Oryctolagus cuniculus: one gene and its partner. The protein of the gene in region 1 binds, or shares a complex with, the protein of each later gene. Links are inferred from orthologs where the notes say so. Each region holds a gene or a part of one and is shown on either strand. Other genes may lie near its edges.

Region 1 (10,123 bases):
AGGTGCTTTTCCTGGTCTCCCATGGGGTGCAGGGCCCAAGCACCTGGGCCATCCTCCACTGCACTCCCGGGCCACAGCAGAGGGCTGGCCTGGAAGAGGGGCAACCGGGACAGAATCCGGCGCCCCGACCGGGACTAGAACCTGGTGTGCCGGCGCCGCTAGGCTGGTTGGGTTTCTGATGTTTGTCAGCACTGGCAGCCTGGGGAATCACTCGCTGCTCTTCTCCTAATGCTGCAGCAGGTCAGCTTTAGAGCTTCCTGCCTGTTTCCTTGTGCGTGTGCTATCCAACCTTTGGCCAAAGCCTGCTGTGAATGCGCATTCAGACTTCTGAAGGCTCCCTCTTCTCGGCTACCCTGCCCTGCAAAGGGCAGCTTTTCTGTCAGCTCAGTGACACTGCCGCTCGGCCTGGGTTCTACCTCCTGTGCTGTGGCTATCAAGCAGCCTTGAGACAGAAAGTTGGATGATTGTGGCTCTTACCTCCTGAGTTATTTTTCTCCAGAGGATCATAGCCCTGAGCTACACCATGCCTGGAAACAACTACTTCCTATTTACATATTTCTGTTTTATAGTTTTGACAAGAGAGCAGATCTGGGTAGCATTTACTCCATCATGACTAGAAGAGGAACCTATGTGATTCTCAATGTTGGATGAGTTATAATGCAAGAAAGATCTATATAGGAGTCACTGCCGTGGCTTAGCAGGTGAAACCTCTACCTGCAGTGCCGGCATCCCATAGGGCATCAGTTCGAGTCCTGGCTGCTCCACTTCCAATCCAGCTCTCTGCCATGGCCTGGGAAAGCAGTAGAAGATGGCCCAAGTGTTTGGGCCCCTGCACCTGCTTGAGTGACCAGGAGGAAGCTCCTTGCGCAGCTGAGGCCATTGCGGCCATTGCGGCCATCTGGGGAGTGAACCAGCGGATGGAAAACCTCTCTCTTTCTCTCCCTCACTCTCTCTGCCTCTGCCTCTCTGTAACTCTGCCTTTCAAATAAATAAATCTTTTTTTTTAAAGAAAGATCTATATAAACAGTAAATCTCCGTATAAATATATATTGGTGTTGTGATGACATCTTTGGCAAGGATTTGTAATTATGTAGACAGGAAAAAGACTGGGCTTTTTTTTTTTTTGACAGGCAGAGTGGACAGTGAGAGAGAGAGACAGAGAGAAAGGTCTTCCTTTGCCGTTGGTTCACCCTCCAATGGCCGCCGCGGCTGGCGCGCTGCGGCCGGTGCACCACGCTGATCCGATAGCAGGAGCCAGGTACTTATCCTGGTCTCCCATGGGGTGCAGGGCCCAAGCACCTGGGCCATCCTCCACTGCACTCCCTGGCCACAGCAGAGAGCTGGCCTGGAAGAGGGGCAACCGGGACAGAATCCGGTGTGCCGGAGCCGCTAGGTGGAGGATTAGCCTATTGAGCCGCAGTGCTGGCCAAGATTGGGCTTTAAACACTGGAAAATCTGCCCATGGTGAGGTTGTTGAAGCCTCTAGCAGTCAGTTTGAAATATATAGAACTGAACACACACACACACACACACACACACGAGTCACACTCACGACATTGACATTTCTGTTCCCTTACCCCCTACCATCCTCACCCCACCTATTGCTTTGTGTTAAAGGCTCTGCTTTTCCTTTCTTTAGTCAGGGATGGCTTTCCTGAAGAAACAAAAGAACCCCGGAAGCCTGTGGAAGAGAAATGGCCGCAGTACCTCTTTTTTTCTTCTTCATCGCTTCATCCTCCCGCTGTAAGGGGATGAAGGCCTGTTTATTCCCAAGAGCTTATTTGTCACTGCTCCATTTCTATGGGTTTTTGGGTCCAGTGGGCCAAAAACAAAATGAAGAATCACTCGGCCCTTCTGCCTTTTTTTGGTAAAGGATTTATTTACTATTTATTTAAAAGAGTTATATAGAGGCAGAGGGGGGGGGAGAGGGAGAGGGAGAGGGAGAGGGAGAGAGAGAGAGAGAGAGAGAGAGATCCTCCATCCACTGGTTCACTTCCAAAGTAGCCGCAATGGCTAGAGCTGAGCTGATCTGAAGCCAGGAGCCAGGAGTCTCCTCTGGGTCTCCCATGCAGGTGCAGGGACCCAAGCACTTGGGCCATTTTCTACTGCTTTCCCAGGCCATAGCAGAGAGCTGGATCGGAAGTGGAGCAGCCGGGACTCAAACTGGCTCCCATATGGGATGCCGGCACTGCAGGTGATGGCTTTACCCACTATATTCCTGCTTATTTATATTTATATATTTGAGAGGCAGAGACACACACGCAAAGGGAGAGACAGCAACAGACACACTGAGATCTCCCATCCGCTGTGTCACTACCCAAATGCCCTCAACAGCTGGGGTTGGGCCAGGCCAAAACCAATAGCCAGGAACTCAGTCAAGATCTCTGGTGTGTGGGTTTCAGGAACCTTGCCAAGTACTTGCATTAACACGAACCTGGAATCAGGAGTAGAGCCAGGCACTTTGATATGGGATGCAGGCATCCAATAACCACTATGCCAAATGCCCATCCCTTGAGAGAACTCCGGAAGGAACATCAACCAGCCTTTGAAAACTCTGTTTTGTGTGATCAAAGAAGTACAGCGTTTCAGCGTCTACTGGGGATGGTGCTCCTGTGCCCTTAGAATGGAGAGCGTCAGCAAGTCTCAAGGGAGACTTAAGAAGAAAATTCCCTTGGGAGACTTGGTCAGAAGGTGGTTTGAATACCAAAGTGGTGAACCACTATGTACTACTTCTTTTTTTTTTTTTTTTTTACAGGCAGAGTGGACAGTGAGAGAGAGACAGAGAGAAAGGTCTTCCTTTGCCGTTGGTTCACCCTCCAATGGCCGCCACGGCCGGTGCACCGCGCTGATCTGAAGGCAAGAGCCAGGTGCTTCTCCTGGTCTCCCATGGGGTGCAGGGCCCAAGCACTTGGGCCATCCTCCACTGCACTCCCTGGCCACAGCAGAGAGCTGGCCTGGAAGAGGGGCAACCAGGACAGAATCCGGCACCCCAACTGGGACTAGAACCCGGTGTGCCGGAGCCGCTAGGTGGAGGATTAGCCTAGTGAGCCGCGGTGCCCGCCCCACTATGTACTTTTACATTAATTATTAAAAGGGAGGAGTTGATAGCTAAGACCAGGTCATGAAAAGCCAACTATGGCTTGAAGGGCTGTGAATTCCGTGTCAGTGTGTCAGGAGCGTCTTTGCATCCTGTGTTTTGCTAGTCTGATGGAGACCAAAGAGAGAGCTCTGAGAACCCCGGCCTTGGAAGGACAGGGTGCGCAGACTCCTGAACTGGGTGATATCCTACCAGGTCTCACAGGGCAGCAACTCAGCTGATGTCTTAAGTTTACGAGACACTGCTGTGGTTGTATCAGTGTGCATTTTTCAAATAAAGATGATTTCTCTCTTTAAAGAAATTACTTTAGGGACAGAATGATCAAAAGTCTAATACTGGTAAAATTTCCTTGTTTTCAATAATTCTATCTGGATTAATAAAACTTGTTTTCTTAGTGTGCTTATACATGGGAAAAAATCTGAATATTTAAAAATTCCGATGCCAATTTTGGTTTCTCTGGATTTCCCCAATGCTCCACTCCCACCATCCCTTTAAAAAATTTTTTTTAAACTTCCGAAACAAGTCAGTTTCTTTTTTTTCTTTCCTCTTTCTTTTCTTTCTTTTTTTTTTTTTTAAGATTATTTATTTACTTGAAAGAGTTACACAGAGAGAAGGAGAGTGGGGGAGGGAGAGAGAGAGAGAGAGAAAGAGAGAGAGAGAGAGAGAGAAAGGTCGGTCTTCCACCCGCTGGTTCATTCCCTAATTGGCTGCAACAGCCAGAGCTGCGCCAATCTGAAGCCAGGAGCTTCTTTGCAGTCTCTCATATGGGTACTGGGGCCCAAGCACTTGGACCATCTTCTACTGCTTTCTCAGGCCATAGCAGAGAGCTGGATCAGAAGCAGAGCAGCCGGGACTTGAACCAGCACCCATGTAGGATGCCGGAACTGCAGGCAGCTGCTTTACCCATTATGCCACAGCCCTGCCCCACCCCCACCATCCTTTTTATCCCCTTGCCCCGACATGCTTTCATGAGTAATACAGAAAAGCAGACACTATGAGAAGCTGAGATGAGTTTTATTTTTCTCTTAAACAGAAGAAAAAAAGTAGGGTTACATTTTCATAAATATATATAAATACGGAGTGACAGGCAACATTCTTCCAAATAAATAAATAAATATTGCCACACGCTAAGGGACATCAAAGAAGTGATAGGGGCCACCTTGGCTCTGCCCAGAAGAACCCCTCATGGTGGTGTTGAGGTTGTAGGATTGCAATCATTTTTCTACCGAGTCCTTTTGGGATTCTTTCCACCTAGTTGTCAGTATGGGGAGCCTCTACCAGCTAGCATCCAGGATAGTATCCCCAACAGGAAATGAACACTATTGAAGTATTTGCTAGGCATGGCTATATACTATGATACACAGCTTTAGTGTTTCAGGAGAGGAACTGGCCCTTCAAGTTCAGCTAAAAACTATCAGGAAAAAAGCAGTTGTCCAATGCGAGTAGACAAGGGCTCTGTTGGCCTATATGGTGGCAGTTACAGACAGTGGTGACTGGCACGAAGCTGTTGTTGGGATCTGTGTTTCAGGTGTATTCTGTAGTTTAGGTGGGTGCTAAAATGGAGGTAGGAAAATAAGGCCCCCTTGTAGGGCCAACGTCAATCCCAGCTCTTGGGCATCCCTACTTGAGGCTTTGTTCTGCTCAGTACAACACTGAGGCTCCTGGGACAGGAAGCTGTCTTCAGTTAATGCCCGCAAAATTTCCAAGTGGATTGAGACCCAGGTGTGTCTGCCTAGCAGTGTTTAAAGTAATCCAATAGCTGCTATTCCACAGCACGAACGAAATCATGGTCAAGATCGTTTCCTAATTCCTACAATTTAGTCCCCTGGTTATTGGACTTCTCCCCGCTACCCATGAGCCCTCAATGCCACTTCACTTAGGAAAAGGGACACGATCCTTTGGTCCACAGACGGCCTACCCCAGAGCAGCCCGAGCGTCTCAAGGCCTCTGCCCCAGTCCCATTTTTTGTAATTCATCCAGGATGGATGATTATTGAGTCTGGAAGGAGAGGCTTAACAAAGTGCCTCTTGGGAGAGTTTGAATGCCTTTTCCATTTTGTAACACCAATCTAGATTTTCATGACCCTGTACGAAAGCTGGTCCTTGGGCCAGATTCACTAAGGGCAAAGATGGGGCCCAGAGGTGAGGCGATCTCCCAAGCCTGTTGGGAGCAGGGTCATTTCTTGCTTTCTGGCTCTGGCTGCACAGAGGGAGAGAGAGGGGTAAAGGGTGCCTCTCTCCCGGCAGGGAAGCTGAGTTCCCCGGCGAGGTTTTGGACACCAGGCACCCTAGATGCTGCCTTTTCCCACAGTTCTTCTCCAGAGATGCCTGAGGAAGAACAAAGGCTGGAGACCCGTGTTTTCATCAGCTTGCCCAATCCAGCTGTTAGCAGCAAGTCCTGCAGACCCAAATGCCAACAGGATCAGGGCAGGAACACATACCCTCAGATCCATGGAGAAGCTGCCGGAATTCTCTCCCGCCCTGCACCTTGCGCGTTACTGAGCTCGCCAAGCTATTGCTTTACCTTAATGCCAAACTGAGTAAGAAGAGAGGCCGAGGGAAGAGATGGAAGAGATATAGAAGGGGGACAGGGAATGGGGAGGAAGGAGTCCCTGTTTCTCATTTACCTGTTGGGGTTGCTCATTCAGAAAGGTAGGGTTATAGGGGTGAGGAAGGTGGTGAGACGACTCTCGGAGAAAGGACTGGAGAGCAGCAGCTGATTCCACACCACCTTCCCCATCCATCGAGGGGCAAGGGAGGGAGCTGGTCCCTATACAGAGTTTAGTTTGCTAAAGGAGAGTTAATGAGGCTCCCTTGGCATCCCTAGATGAACTTGGGGAAATGGTGGCACCTTTCCGGGCCCATCCTGTCCCCGTGCATGTTCACCCTATTGCCCCGGAGCACTCCGAAGGGGTCGCTGGCCACCAGGCCATTGTCTTCAGCACTTGGGGCCTCCTGTGAGCAGGAGGCTGGGGCCGGGGTCAGCCGGAACCTGGGCTTCAGCACGTTCAGCGGGTCCTGCTCCCAGGCGTCCTCGGCGCTCCGGGTGTGCCTTCGCGGCCTCGGCGTGTTGAAGTGGATCAGGGGGATCTCGTTCCTCCGGGACAGGAACTGGGAATAGGGTGGCGGGTTCATGCCTGGCAGGAAGGGCCTCTTGGCCCGGCCCAGGCTGACCAGGAAGTGATGCTCCGGAGAGTGGTAGACGTCGTACCCGTTTTCCAGCGTCCTGTGTCTGAACCTGCAGTTCTGGGGGTCGAAGTAATGCTGGAGAGGCAAGAGGGAAGTGTGTGAAGGCTGGGGATGTGGGCCTGGGACCCCAGACCCTACCCCCACACACACACACTGGGGCCTTAGGCTGTGTGCCAACCGGCCCAAAGGCCCAGAAGGCTCTCTTGTGTCCAGCTTTGACTTGTTGACTTAGTCCACACACCATTAAGTAGCACTGTTTAACCTCCTGGGTCCCCTCTCGGGGACAGTGATGGTGACAGATGCCTTCTAGGTTGCCCAAGCACTGAATATAGTCCCAACTTCCAGGGAGTGGCCGCCGCTAGGGTGCACAGCTCATGGCTTTGATACCTGGGCTGGGCAGCACCCCAGAGAGAGCTGACACCAATGGCTGCATTCAGGGTTTGGAGCCAGGGCTGTTACACGTCACCTCCTCCTCCCCTACTCTCTACCTTTTTGAATCCTCTCCTGGCTGGAAGCTGATGGGCTTGCGTCCTTGCCTGGATGGGGTTTGCACAATCAAAAGTGAGTGAGAGTAGTGACATCAGAGAGAGCATGTGGCTTGGAGATCAATGGCAAGAACTTTACTGAGAGCTGGCTGGGCTCCAGTACTCACTCCGCATCTAGTACTGAGTGAGGCTTACTGAGTGCCTATGAAGGCCTTTACGTGTATTTCATTTAACTTTCAAACTCCACACAGTAAATGTTTTACAGTTAGGAGCTGTGCTCGTCTAGATGTTCTGATGTTCCACAGATAAAGAGTGTCCTTCCGGGCAGGCAGTTAGGATCGGACACATCCCACATCCCACATCCCACATCCCACATCGCATATCGGAGTGCCCGGCTCTGGCTCCTGACTCCAGCCTCCTGCTAATGCACACCCTGGCAGGCAGTGGTGACGGCTCAAGTCATTGGGTCCCGGCCACCCACACAGGAGACCCCAAATGAGCTCTCAGCTCCTGGCTAAGGGCTACTGAAGGCATTTGGTGAGGGAACCAATGGATGGTAACACTTGTGTGTGCTCTCTCTCTTAAATATAAGTAAGTAAGTAAATAAATAAATGTAGATCCACTCTGGCTACATAATATTGTAGGAACTGGGACTTAGCAGGTACCCAAACAGAAAATCCCCATTTTGCGCCGTCTCTCTGAGTATGCCTGGTGGTAAAGAGAATCCTGAAATAAGCAGTTCCACTGTTTCACTATCTCAAAATCCACTGGGACGTGCCAGCCGGCTTTACTTTGAGGAACCTCTTGCTTGCCAATCTGAATGACCAGCGATCAGACTTGTGACAGAGGTGCTCCCTAATCATGTGGGCCACTCCACCACATTTTTTTTTCTGAGTGAAAAAGCTGAAGTTTGGGAAAGTGAGGGGACTGGTTAAGGTAGCAGCTTGCAACAGGTCCAAGCAGACACCATTAGCTTCTTGCCCGTTCTAATGTGCTTTATGGCATGCTTTCACATATCTCTAAGACCTACAACTATACACAGGGGTCTGTGCTAGATACAAGAATGGGCACCCATGGGCAGTGCAGACAAGGGACCGAGTGGCTGGGTTCTGGGGCCAGACAGACTGCGGTTCAAACCCCAGTTGTATAAATGTGAACATTTCAGATCAGACAAAAAAGTGTTCGCTGAGAACAGATGAGCAAGGCACCCGCAAAAGGAAGCTTCAAGCCAGAAAAGTCCATGTTTTCTGTTTTCCCGAAATAGATAACTATTGGAAAATGCAGATCCATAACCGCTGCCTCCCCGCACACACACACACACACACACACACACACTCACACACACTCACCGATCCAAAAATGTTGCCTCTGAAATCCATACAGAGGTACCTCCTGCTCATGACACCTGTTATCACCACGAAGCCAGCATCCTCCGATCTGATCATCAGGGCACCTATGGAGAGGAGCGTCCTGGTCAGAGACTGTTTGCACCTCCAATTCCCACCTTCAGGTACTTGCACCCTCACAAAACCTTCCTGTGTTGGTGTCAAAGATTGATGATGGCGTCACTCAATGCTCTCTCTCCACTTCTCTCTCTGTCTCAATCTCACACACACCCACTCACTGCCACACCCACCTCCTGCTGTGTGGGGCACTCTGAACTCACAGCATTCTCTCACCTGTGCTGTACACCTGTTTCTCTCTCTGCACCTGTACCCTCTCTGTCTCCCCTGTTGCCTGGCTAATGCCTCTTCCTGTCAGTGGTAGTGGTCATGTTCTTCCAAGCCTTCTGCGTTTGTAATTTTAAGGCTGTGCTGAGATCTCTGTCAAGGGTGCAGCCTGGAGGTAGAGTCCGGTTCTCCACCCAGCCAGCGGTGTAATAGTCTAATGCGTTCCACAGCACTCATCACGTGTCCAGAACTGTATTTGAGTAAGTCTCTCTCTCCCTTCTCTGCTAATGTTAAGCAGGAGCCCTACCCATTGGGCTCTAACTAGTCAATACCTAGTCTTTAGCTCCTTGGCAGTGAGCTACAGGGGAGCAGAGGCCTTATCTTTCCACGTTGAATGGCTATCAAGGCTGGATGGAACATTTTTCTTGGGTCTTCCTGACTGTCCTTGGTCCTTTCTCATGTGGTAGTTCCCATTCCATGGGCAACCCCTTGTGGTCTTTCAGTGTCTCCTCTCAAAGGCTGGTCTCCAGCCAGGGCCCGAAACCCATTCATGCTTCCTACACCATACATAATTGACAGTAGCTTTAAGTCTGACCCCTTCGCCCTCTGCCTCCGTGGAGACTGGTTCCAAGCTCAAAGGTCACAGCCATGTCAGGGCAAAGATTACCTGTACTGAGTCTAGGGGCATAGCGGCTGCCTGGGAAACCCACGAAGCTGCCAAATGCTGTCCATCTGAATCCCAGTAGGGGGTTGGTGGTGTGGCTTAGCAGGTTAAGCCTCCACCTGGGAAGCCAACATCACATATGGATGCTGGTTCGTGTTCTGGCTACTCTTTTTTTTTTTTTTTAAAGATTTATTTATTTGCTTGAAAGGCAGAGTTACAGAGAGGCAGAGGCAGAGGCAGAGGCAGAGAGAGAGAGAGAGAGAGAGAGAGAGAGAGAGAGAGGTCTTCCATCCATTGGTTCACTCCCCAGATGGCCACAATGGCCAGAGCTACGCCAATACGAAGCCAGGAGCTTCTTCCAGGTCTCCTACATGGGTGCAGGGGCCCAAACACTGGGGCCATTTTCTACTGCTTTCCCAGGCTATAGCAGAGAGCTGGATCAGAAGTGGAGCTACCGGGACTTGAACCAGCATCATATACCATAACAGCAGCCCTGTTCCTCTTCTGATCCAGCTCTCTGCTTATGGCCTGGGAAAGCACTGCTTAGGCCCCTACACCTGCATGGGAGACTGGTAAGAAGCTCCTGACTCCTGGCTTTGGCCTGTCCCAACCCCAGCTGTTGCGGCCAACTGGAGAGTGAACCAGCAGATGGAAGATCTCTCTTTTCTCTGTCTCTTCCTCTCTCTTTGTAACTATGACTTTCAAATAAATAAATTTAAAAAACAAACAAACAAATATTCCTTAGCTGTTCTCTACCCTTTCTTTCTATGGGAGTCAGAATAATGTGTCATCATCTATTCTCATGCATTTTAAATCACATGTAGCCTTTTTATGATTTATTTATTTGTTTGAAAGGCAGAGTTATGGGGGAAGGGAAGAGAGAGAAAGAGAGAGAGAGATCTTCCATCCACTAATTCACTCCCCAAATGGCTGCAACATCCAGATCTGGGCCGGACTGAAGCCAGGAGCCTGGAACTCCTTCTGGGTCTCCCACATGGGTGGCAGGGGTCCAAGCACTT
Region 2 (10,123 bases), on another chromosome or scaffold:
TTTTTCAGGGATGGATAATATTCCATCACCTCACACACTGACCCTTTCTGCCCCAGGTAAGGGCCAAGGGCTCCCCGTGTCTGGGATTGGCTGGGCCACTGAACAGTGACCACCAATGAGACTCCTGGCTCGAGTGGGGCTCGGCCAGAAAGTCTGAGAGAGCCTCTGGACCACCTGCGTGGGAGCAGGAGAAGCAGGGCCAGAGGCCTTGGGCTGCGGAGCGGGCTGGGGGTGGGGCTGCCCAGTCCTGGGACAAGTGCACCAACAGCTCACACGGAGTCTGCATGGCGCCTCTCCCAGCGCATGCGCACCCAAGCCTTGTTCATCCGAAACCCTGCGCCCTGCTCCTGCGGGGCGGAAGTGACGGTGCCGCCCTCAGCACCACAGCTGGACACTGGAAGCGGCAGGATCGGGACTTCCTGGCTCCAGGTCCAGGGCTCTTCCCACCCCGTTAGGAAATAAGAGCTCCTGGGGTAAAGGAAGTGGTCAGGGAACTCCGTGGTTTGTGGCCGGATGTCTGCTCTGAGACGGGGGCGCCCTGGAAGAGGAGGGGTTCAGTCTGGGACATGGAAAGCCGGAGGGTGTTGGGGGGGGGGCAGTGTGCGGACCCAGAGGAGGGAGTGCAGCATGGTCAGGTTAGGGAGCAGCAGGATAGAGCCAGGGAAGGGTCCAGGCTGAGTCCCAGGAAGCTGAGCCATCAGAGGGGGTTTCTTAGAACAGGGCCCCTAAGGCCTCCCCAACAGAGGGCCAGGCAAGCAGGGACAGCTGCAGTCCAGCCAGGCAGCAGCCAGCTGCTGCTGGGAGACTGGCCAGGCCGGGAGTGCGGGGGGTGGGCACGGCCCCCACCACCAGCGCGTGGGAGCGAGCCGGCAGGGCTGGGGCAGGGTTTCAGGTTGTCCTGTTTTTGCTGATCAGCTTGGTTAATGCTGAACAGGTGGTGGGGGGGGGAAAGCCAGCAGCTCCCTTGGGGACAGACAAGTTGCACGTATGCATGCACACATATGTGGGCAGGGCATAGGATGGGCGGGGCCAAGGCCAAGGCCCATATGGACTCCTGGAAACCCGAGGCCTGGCACTCAGCCCCTTGGGTCTGTGTCACTCAGGAGTGCCTCCATCCTGCACCCCCTCCCTCCATGCCCCTCGGGGAAAGACACCAGGCATACACAGGTTTATTTCAAAAAACAATAATTTATAAAAAGGCCATTTGTGTCTGTGCTTTCGGCTCCCAGCCTCCCAGGGGCACAGGGGTCAATGCTCCTTCCACCGAGAGCTGGGAAGATCGGGGTGGGGGCGCTTGGGGACATAGGGTTCCGATCTCCAAACCTCTGTTGCTGTTGGGAAGCAGGTTCAGAAGAGCAGTCTGGAGCCAGGCCCAGCCAAACCCCTAAGCAGGACGCCAACACTCAGGCTACTGGGACATTGGCAGCCGAACCCCAAGGGCAGGGCCTCATGCCCAGGGCTGAACTCTGGGCTGGGAACCCGGGGCCAGAGCGCGGGAAGCCTCAACTGGACCCATGGGCTAAAGACCGACCTCCCCAGAGTGGAGTCAGAGATCTGGAATGGCACCCCAAGGTCAGGGCCCCCGGATTGCCAAGGTCAAACAGTGCTTAGATTGTGGCTGAGCCAGGAGGCCCCTGCTCACGTCTGTACCCCAGGGAAGGGGAAGGGGCTGGGCCCCAATGGTAAGGGGTCGTGACTGAAGACAGAGTCATTGGAGGAACAGGTGCTGCTGGTGTCTCCTCCGGAGGGGGAGTAGGGTCCAAAGGTCAGGCGGAGGTCGAGGTACTGCGGGGAACAGAACACGTGAGCCTGCGCAAGCGCAGTGGGCAGCAGCAGGAGGCTCGGGGCGGGCAGGGGGCAGTACCTCCTCAGAGACCGCCAGCAGCACCTTGTCCAGCGCTTCTACCAGCTGCTTGAAGGTGGGTCTCTGGGAAGGCGCCGCGTGCCAGCACTCGCGCATCAGCCCGTACCTGGGGAGGTTAGGAGCAGCCTCAGGCCTGGGGGAGGGGCCTCGTGGCCCTGGGAGGGGGAGCGGTGGGTGGGGCCAGCCAGTGGAAGGGCGGGGACCCCGCCTAGGCCTCCCCTCTGGACCCAGGAGGAGGAGGGGGAAGGGAGGGGAAGAGAGGGAGGAGGCATTGCCCTCAGGACCAGCCAAGGTCAAGGCAGGGGCTGAGGACTGGAGGGTGGGGAGTGTGGGCCAGCCTCACAGCTCTGGGGGGCAGTGTGGGGGCCGGTCCATCCGATGGCCCTCCCGCAGCAGTGAGAACAGTTCCTCCACGGGGATGCCGGGGTACGGGGAGCCCCCAAGTGTGAAGATCTCCCAGAGCAGGATCCCAAATGACCACCTGGAGGCAGGACAGAGGATCAGCAGGGCACAGCTCCCCTGCCCACTGCAGGGGGCCCAGCGGGTGTGGGCTACACAGGGCTGGGGGTGATGACCCCTGGCAGGCACCCCGACCTCAGGTCGCAGGTCTTACACATCACTCTGGTGTGTGTACACTCGGTCAAACAAGGCCTCGGGGGCCATCCACTTGACAGGCAGGCGGCCCTGGAGGGAGAGGGGTGGCATTGGTGGAGTCCCGCCAGCCCCAGGCCTGGGCCCCCAGCCCCCAGCCCCCGCCGCCCTCACATTGCTGGTTTTCTTGTAGTAGTCAATGTGGTGGACGCCTCGGGCCAGCCCGAAGTCGGCGATTTTCATCACGTTGTCCTCGGTCACCAGCACGTTGCGGGCAGCCAGGTCCCGGTGGATGCACTGGGGGAAAGGCAGGCATGTGACACGGGGCTTGGGTTTACAGGAACACATGGCTGGGAGCTGGGCACATGCATCTTCCACCCATTTTACAGATGGGGAAGTTGTGACTGGGAAAGGGAGAGCTAAGCCGTCTGGCTTCAGGGCCTGGGTCTTCTCCCCAGCCCTGCCCCTGGGTCAGGATGAACCAAATGGGGACAGGAAGTGTCAGCTGCGCAGTGCCAAGGGCAGGGGTGTGAAGCTCTGGGGACATTTAGGCGGCAACGGGAAAGGGGAGATGAGGGGGGCAAGGGCAGAGGGGCCAGAGCATGGCCGCGGCCACACCTTCTGCGACTCCAGGTACTGCATGCCGCGCGCCACCTGGTAGGCACAGGAGACCAGGGCCGGGAAGGACAGTGGCCCCTCACTGCTCCTCGGTCCTTCGGGGCTGAGGTCGGGGCCCGGGGGCCGCCGGGCCCGCAGGAACTCCCGCAAGTTTCCCTTGGCCGCACATTCCACAATCACGTACAGGGGCCCTGGCGGGGAGGGGCACAGAGAGGCCACTGAGGTCACAGGCGGCTCTGCCGGCCAGCGCCTGCCCGTGCCCCGAGCCCCGCCCAGCCGCACCTTCCTGGGTGCAGACGCCTAGCAGGTTGATGATGTTCTTGTGCTGGCCTATCAGCTTCATCACCTCCATCTCAGACACCAGGTCGGCCAGGTCCTTGTCTGAGGCGTTGTCTGCAATGGGTGGGGAAGCTGCCATCTAGCTGCTCAGGGCGGGGCGGGGGAGGGGCAGCTCTGCGGCTGCATCCCCACCAGGCTGTGCGTAACCTCTCGGAACCTCAGGGTTCACTCGTGCGGAACCCAACAGTGGATCAGCCCTCCCTCTCAGGATGCAATGGCATTGAGGATCTGAAAGAGGGAGGCCTTCCAGAGAGAGACGGGAGACGGGAGACGGGGAGAGCTGGGACAGGAAGGAAGCTGCCTTGGGAAGGGTTGGCGCTGGTCCCTCAGCGGGGGTGGGAAGCAGGCTGGCGCCCTGAGGCCTCTGTCTGACCAGGGCCTGGCATCCATCCGGCCTGGGAATTCTGGGAGCTGCCAGCACAGCTCAGAGAGGGGAGCGGCTGGAGAGAAGGCTGAGGACCAGCGGCCGGGCTCCGGAACTGACCTGCGGCCCCGGGTCAGTGGCGCAGCGCCCCCGCCCCCGCCCCCGCCCCCACCCCCACGCACGCCACTATCACAAGGCTGTTTCCCAATCCCTGCCTCCCAGAAAGTGCCAGGTGGCCCCAGCTGCTCTGAGACAGGAGAAGGAGGGAGGAAGAGGGCCGGAGGGAGGAGGGCGGAGGGGGGAGAGGAGCGGCTTGGGCTCCTTGGGAGAGGGGGCTGGGGGAAGGCAGTAAAAGGCTCCAGTGGGCAGCTCCTAGGGTCTGGCACTGACTTTACGCAGAAGTGCTGCTCTTCCAGGGTGCTGGGCACAGAGGCCAGACCTGGGAAGGGCCCAGGGAAGGCTGCAGGTGTGTCTGGGGGACCATGGGGGATGCGAGGTTCAAGGAGACCTGTGGCCAAGGCTGACACTGGCAGAACTGATGGAGGATACAGAACTCAGTCACCCCAAATCCTCACCATCATCCTTGCCCCGACGGCTAGGATCTGATGGGCCCTGACCATGTGCCAGGCACTCGCCAAGAACCGTGGGCCGGGAGGTAGGGGCCCTATTATTCACCCCATGTGACGCAAGGGGAGACGGACTTGAAAGCGACCTGCCAGCGTCAGAGCAGACTTGGACTGCGGGCCAAGGGCAGGGTCGCAGGCCTCTCCCAGCCTACCCTCCTCCCCAGGCCCCTGCTCTCCACTGTGAGCCCCACAGGTGCACCTGCCCCCAGGCTCCACACACACTCACCCTTGAGCATCTTGACGGCCACGGTGCTAGCTTGGTCAGGGCGGGCAGGGTCCATGCCGAAGGCCTCTGCACGCACCACCTGCCCGAAGCAGCCCTCTCCCAGCGGCTTCCCAAGCACCAACCTAGGTGTGCGGAGAGGCCAGCCCTCAGAGCCCAGGTGGCACACCAGCAGAGAGGCTGCGTGCCCGTCCTTGTCTCGGCTCAGTGTACCTGTCCCGGGGGAACTCCCACAGCGGGTCCAGAGGGAGGTCTAGACTCACGAGGCCAGCGAGCAAGGGGGGGCCGCTGGAGGAGAGCCGGACGCCTCGCACCAGGGACGAACTCGACTTGCCTGAGGAGCCCGACTCCAGAGAGAACTGGAAAGTAGGAGGCGTGGCTGAGCCTGCTGCAGGCAGGCTGAGGCCCTGACTCGGCGGGTAGGGCATGGGGCTGGGGCTGAGCACGGTACCTGTCGGGCCAGAGGGAAGCGGGACAACTTCTGCACCGTGGCGGGCTGCCGAGCACGCCGGCCGTGGAGCACCTGCCCTCGGTATAACCCGGCCAGCAGCAGGAGCACAGCCAGAGCCAGAGAGCCAGAGGCATACAGGATGATGTCTGTGTACCTGGCCTCGGGTGAGGCTGCTGTCCATGTGGGGTCCTCCTCTGCCCGCGCAGACAGATGCACACAGAGAAAGATGGACAAATGGACTGGTGAGTGGTCAGGCTGGCCAGCCCTGCGCTCTCTGTCTCAGGCTTTGCACATGCACACACACACATACATGCACACATACTAAGAAAGCGGCAGTCAGACCCATCTCAAACACCTATACCCCAGAAGGTGCCACAGACAGCCACGTGCAGAATGAAACCCATAAACCCATGGGCCACACCCCCCAGCCCAGACCTCACGGATTCACCAGAGACCACAATAGGGACCAAGTAAGATGGCAGCCTGCTCCGGCCCCCTAAGGCGCTCACCTGGCAGCACGGTGAGCCAGGCCGACTGGTAGGAGAGGCCGATGGAGTTGCCGGCCAGGCAGGTGTACTCGCCCGCGTCCTCGGCCGAAACGTTTCGCAGGTACAGGACTTCCACTTCGGAGCTGTTGATGTCTGCGGTCTGGAGAAGAGGGACACATTAGGGGGTGACGGCAGGGCTTGGGGCGGCCGCTGGGTCCCCCGCTCCCCAGCCATGGGTGGCAGGAGGGGAGGGCTTATGCACCTTCAGCACTTGCACATAGGGGAAGCCGTCGGCGCCAAAGCTGCTGCCGTTGATGACGATGTGTTTCAGCCACTGGATGTGGGGCTGGGCATCACTGTACACCTTGCACAGCAGCTCCACGTCACTGCCCGCCACAGCCGTGGTGTTGGCCGGCAGCCCCGCCTGCAGGATGGGCCGGTGCGGGGAGCGCTCTGGGGGCCGGGTCGGGCCGTGAACCCTGAGCAGCGGCACCCGGACAGGCACCCTGCTCCCCTGCCTCTTCCAGGAAGGCCCTTCCTAACAGGCAGCTCAAACCGTGGCCAGCGCCCGCTACCCTACTTAAACCTTCTATGGCTCCCTGCTACCTTTGGGTGAAGAATGACTTCTCAGCCTAGCATTCAAAACCCTCCAGGGCCGGGTCCCCCGTAAATGCCACACCTCAGACGGGCATCTCCTTGCAAATGCACTGCACCCCTGCACTCTGGTGCCTTAGCTGTGCTGCAGCTCTCGGCCCCCCTGCTCTTCTCATTCCCGCTCTGGGCAGACCCCCTGACTCCGGGTGTCACCCTCTGGGCCACCTGGTCACTTTGAGCTGCTTGCCCCAGCTGAGGCCCAGTCTGTGTTACCTGCCCTGCCCCCCATGCACGGCTTCCCCCCGCCCATGCGCTCACCCAGCACATCCAGCAGGTAGCTGTAGCGGATGCTGCCCAGAGGGTTCTCCACCAGGCAGGTGTACGTGCCCCGGTCCGAGGGCACCACGCTTTCCATCACCAGGCTCCAGTGTTGGTGGCGCAGCTGGGGCAGAGGAAGGGGCCGCCATGGAACCCCCATCTCCCAGAGGGGACAGGGCACGAGGAGGCTGCGTCTTGTCCACAAGCTTAGACTCTGAGGTCAGGCCAAGGGTGTAGATCTTGGGACACAGGAGAAGGCCTGGGGGACCTGAGAGCCTGCGGTGGGAGACTTTTGAGTCTGCCTCTCCCTCGCTGGGCCACCTGAGCATGGAGTGATTGCCCTCTCTGAGCTGTAGCTTCCTCTGTGCAGGCCGCACAGGAGACCTGGAAGAAGCTCCTGGCTCCTGGCTTTGGACAGGCGCAGCCCTGGCCATTGCGACCATTTGGGGAGTGAACCAGTGGATGGAAGACCTCTCTCTCTCTCTACCTCTCTGTAACTCTGCCTTTCAAATAAATCAATCTTAAAGAGAGAGAGGAGATGCCAAAGCGTCCTGAGGCTTGCTGGCCCGGGGTTCTTCCAGCCGCACAGTTGGGGTTGCTGAGCGGGGAAGGCACTTGGTGGGGTAGCCGGATCGCCCCAGTCTGAAGCCTGGTGCTTCCCAGTTGCCTTCCACATTAGATTCACAGGTGCCAGGGGCCCGGGGGGAAATGAAGTCTGGGAGCAGATGGTCTGGGACTCCACAGCCTCACCCGAATCCCTCCAATGCGGTTCTCCCCATGGAAGGCCTGTCCGTCCTTGAGCCAGCGGATGGTGGGCATGGGGTTGCCTGCGGCTGGGCAGCGGAACTTGATGGTGTTCCCGGCAGGCACTGCATGCAGTTTCTTCTCCATGCGCTGGGGGTGTGTCCAGTATGGAGCTGGGGGGGGAGGAGGTGGGCGTACTGAGTGCCCCCCACCCCTCGTTTCAGTGACCAGATGGGGCGATGTGGACACGAGTCCTGGAAGCCTCACACCGACCTTGCTGAGGGTAACTGTGCCTGTTCGGGGAGCCCCTGTGGGCCTTGGGGTCCTCAGGATCGTCACTGGAGACCGAGGAGTCTGTGTCAGGGACAGAGCAAGCATCTGAGGACCAAGAGAGGGAGTCTCTCTCCCCGGGGACCTCAGCCGCCCCCGCCAGCCCCTCTTACCATCCACAGCCAAGGTGAGATTGTGCAGGACCGTCATGGAGCCTCGAGCCAGGCAGAGGTAGCGGCCGGCATCCTCGGGCAGGAAGCTGGCAATCTCCAGGCGGCCCCTCCAGCCCCGCACCCGGCCGGCAGGTGCTAAGCGACTGCCCTCCTTGTACCAGTGGCCGCCCCGCTCAGCCCGCCTGCAGCACAGCCGCACGGGCTGCCCAAGGGCCACGGTCAGTTCCTGCTCGGGCTGTTCCAGGCTGGGGGCTGGGCAGGGTTCTGTGGGCCGAGCACAGAACGCAGTGAGCCCCGCCACTCCGATGGGAGGCGGCCCCCTTGCGTATGAAGAACATGCTGCCCACGTGGGGCCCGGGCACCCAAGGACACGTGCTGGACATGCCACTCCTCCGCACGCAGCTGTGGGCCCACGCCACAGCGCCGAGGTGGGCCACACGCACACAAGTACTTGGCACGCATGCTGGACATGCTACACTCGGGACACACGTACACACACATACACAGACACTCAAAGGCACATGCTATACGTGCCACACGTGCTGCCTGGGCCGCCAAGCTACACACTGATGCACAGAACACACACACACACACACACACACACCCACGCAGCCAAGCGCTCACCCCCGGCTCTGCAGCCCAGCTGAGGGCCCAGCGCCCTGCAAGGCCCGTCCTCTGGAGCGCAGTGATAGATAGTGGCCGCTTGCTGGGAGCCAGACACAGAGTCTCAGAGGCTGAGGCCTGCCCTGCCACCGCCTTCTCAGGGCTTGGGCTGGGACCCTCTCCGGCTCTGCTCAGCCAGCAGCCCCCTCCCAGGTTCACGCTTCCCACCCCTGCGACCCTCTCCCACCTTTGGGGCCATACCCAGCTCCACTTCCTCAGAAGCCTCAAGGGACAAGGCTGGAGCCCCAGGTGCCCCCAGCAGGACCCCCAGCAGGGCCAGTAGCACCCACATCTTCCTGCAGCTCCCAGGACTCAGGCTGGAACTCCTGGAACAGGGGGCAAAAAGAGCAGCTGCCACACGTGCGTCTGGGCCAGCGCTATTGCCCTATTTTGCAGATGAAGAAACTGAGGCAGGTTGGTCCAAGCCCCTAGCCCGGCTGTGGCAAGGCAGAGACTGGAACCAGCTCTGTTGCTGCTGCCGCTGCCGGAGCCCAGGGCCTCCCCCTGGTTGCTGGTGCAGGGGGAGCTGGGCTCGGCTTCCTGCTCTGCCTGGGTCCTGCTGAGACCCTGGCACAAGTTCACAGAAAGAGCAGTTTGGGGATTCTTTCCTTGGAGCGAGGCAGAGAATGGAGAAATATCTGCTGTTCGCTCTCAGCACACATAATTTACTTTTTGCTGAATAAAGAAATTTATTGCTGAAGAGCCAAAAAAAAAAAAAAAGTGAAATGTGATAGCAGGCCAAACGTCAGCAGCTGCATGTTGTTGGGGCTGACCCCTACCCCTAGGGTATTCCTGGCACCCATGCCTAGCAACTGGGTGCTTGCACCAACAAGGCAGCACTCCCCACGTGGAGCAGGGAGAGGGCCTCATTCGGAAGCCCCGCAACCCCACACAGGAGTTTCTGTAGACTCTAAAGTGTCAGCACCAAGTTCAAGTCTCGGCTCCCACCAGCTTGCAAGTCCTGGGCTGTCCCGCTCCAGGCTGTTTTGAGATAAAAGCGGTGATATATGTGGGGACTAGGCACGTGGCATACTGGCATGTCCTCCCCGCCCCTCTTGTCACCTGTCACCCTGGTCTGCCCTCAGCCGGTCAGCTCTGGTCCTGTCAGGTACGAGGTGCACACCCATCTCATTTGGTCACTTTCTTCCCAGTGCTACTGAGCACGTCTCTGTCCCCCCAAAGGAACACTCAGAACCAAGCAAGGGGACAGGCTGTGGTCCCAGGCAGCCACTGGCTATTCCCTGGGGCTGGGTGCCAGCCAGGTGTCAGTGGTGTCTGCAGATGCGCCTTCCTGGAAGCCCACCACATCTCTCTGCAGCCGGGTCCCCCCCTCCCAGCCCTCTCTGTATTTCCTGTCCCTCCCCGGGGCAGGCCACGGTGGTGTCTGCTTGGGCCTTTGCAAACCTCCTCTGTTCTCAGCCTCTGCAAGGGCTTTGGGAAACACACGTCTGTCAAGTGCCCCCTCCGTCGGTTAAAGGCTCCCTGCACCCTGCAGGAAGCAGTCCCCGCGGCTCGTGTGTCTCCCAGGCCCCCTCTCTGCCCTGGCCAATCTCCCTTCACGAGCACGGAACCCACCGCCTTTCAAAACCCGGCGCCTCCGTGCCCTTCATCCCTCTTCTCCATCCCGCTCAGCTCTTTCTGTGACTGAGCCCAGCCCACCCCAGGGCTCCGCAAAGCGCCCCCTCTGCCTCGGGGCACAGCTCCGCGGGCAGTGGGGTGGGGACGCCTGGGACCCCAGGCTGCCCTGACCTCCCAACCTCAAACCTTGGCCGGGTCACCGCGGCGGCTGGCCACCCG

The links. The genes of interacting proteins can lie anywhere in the genome.
Region 2: the proteins of FGF23 (region 1) and FGFR4 are in contact, whole or in part, in a cryo-EM structure (PDB 7YSW), measured with the Homo sapiens proteins. The link is inferred for Oryctolagus cuniculus from reciprocal best matches to the Homo sapiens genes FGF23 and FGFR4. Residues at the interface, in NP_065689.1 of Homo sapiens: Leu32, Gly33, Ser35, Trp36, Gly37, Tyr43, Ala45, Thr46, Ala47, Arg48, Asn49, Ser50, Ile75, Arg76, Ser77, Glu78, Asp79, Ala80, Gly81, Val83, Val84, Tyr93, His117, Gln118, Thr119, Asn122, Gly123, Tyr124, Asp125, Leu158; in NP_001341913.1 of Homo sapiens: Glu156, Lys157, Lys158, Leu159, His160, Ala161, Val162, Pro163, Asn166, Asp240, Leu242, Glu243, Arg244, Ser245, Pro246, Lys272, Val273, Tyr274, Ser275, Asp276, Ala277, Gln278, Pro279, His280, Ala308, Asp309, Ile310, Ser312, Gly336, Asn337.

What each region holds. Positions count from the first base shown.
Region 1 is NC_091440.1:105,068,333-105,078,455, reverse strand, and holds the end of FGF23 (fibroblast growth factor 23), read right to left. Parts: intron 8,224-10,123; coding exon 8,120-8,223; intron 6,361-8,119; coding exon 5,920-6,360; 3' UTR 4,096-5,919; downstream 1-4,095. UniProt on the Homo sapiens protein: Regulator of phosphate homeostasis. Inhibits renal tubular phosphate transport by reducing SLC34A1 levels. Up-regulates EGR1 expression in the presence of KL. Acts directly on the parathyroid to decrease PTH secretion. Regulator of vitamin-D metabolism.
Region 2 is NC_091437.1:63,113,461-63,123,583, reverse strand, and holds the end of FGFR4 (fibroblast growth factor receptor 4), read right to left. Parts: exon of another isoform or gene 10,084-10,123; intron 8,653-10,083; 5' UTR 8,619-8,652; coding exon 8,528-8,618; exon of another isoform or gene 8,514-8,527; intron 7,928-8,513; coding exon 7,664-7,927; intron 7,575-7,663; coding exon 7,494-7,574; intron 7,394-7,493; coding exon 7,227-7,393; intron 6,601-7,226; coding exon 6,477-6,600; intron 6,018-6,476; coding exon 5,827-6,017; intron 5,725-5,826; coding exon 5,586-5,724; intron 5,271-5,585; coding exon 5,077-5,270; intron 4,985-5,076; coding exon 4,839-4,984; intron 4,751-4,838; coding exon 4,629-4,750; intron 3,467-4,628; coding exon 3,356-3,466; intron 3,265-3,355; coding exon 3,074-3,264; intron 2,753-3,073; coding exon 2,630-2,752; intron 2,549-2,629; coding exon 2,478-2,548; intron 2,346-2,477; coding exon 2,208-2,345; intron 1,971-2,207; coding exon 1,865-1,970; intron 1,786-1,864; coding exon 1,639-1,785; 3' UTR 1,169-1,638; downstream 1-1,168. UniProt on the Homo sapiens protein: Tyrosine-protein kinase that acts as a cell-surface receptor for fibroblast growth factors and plays a role in the regulation of cell proliferation, differentiation and migration, and in regulation of lipid metabolism, bile acid biosynthesis, glucose uptake, vitamin D metabolism and phosphate homeostasis.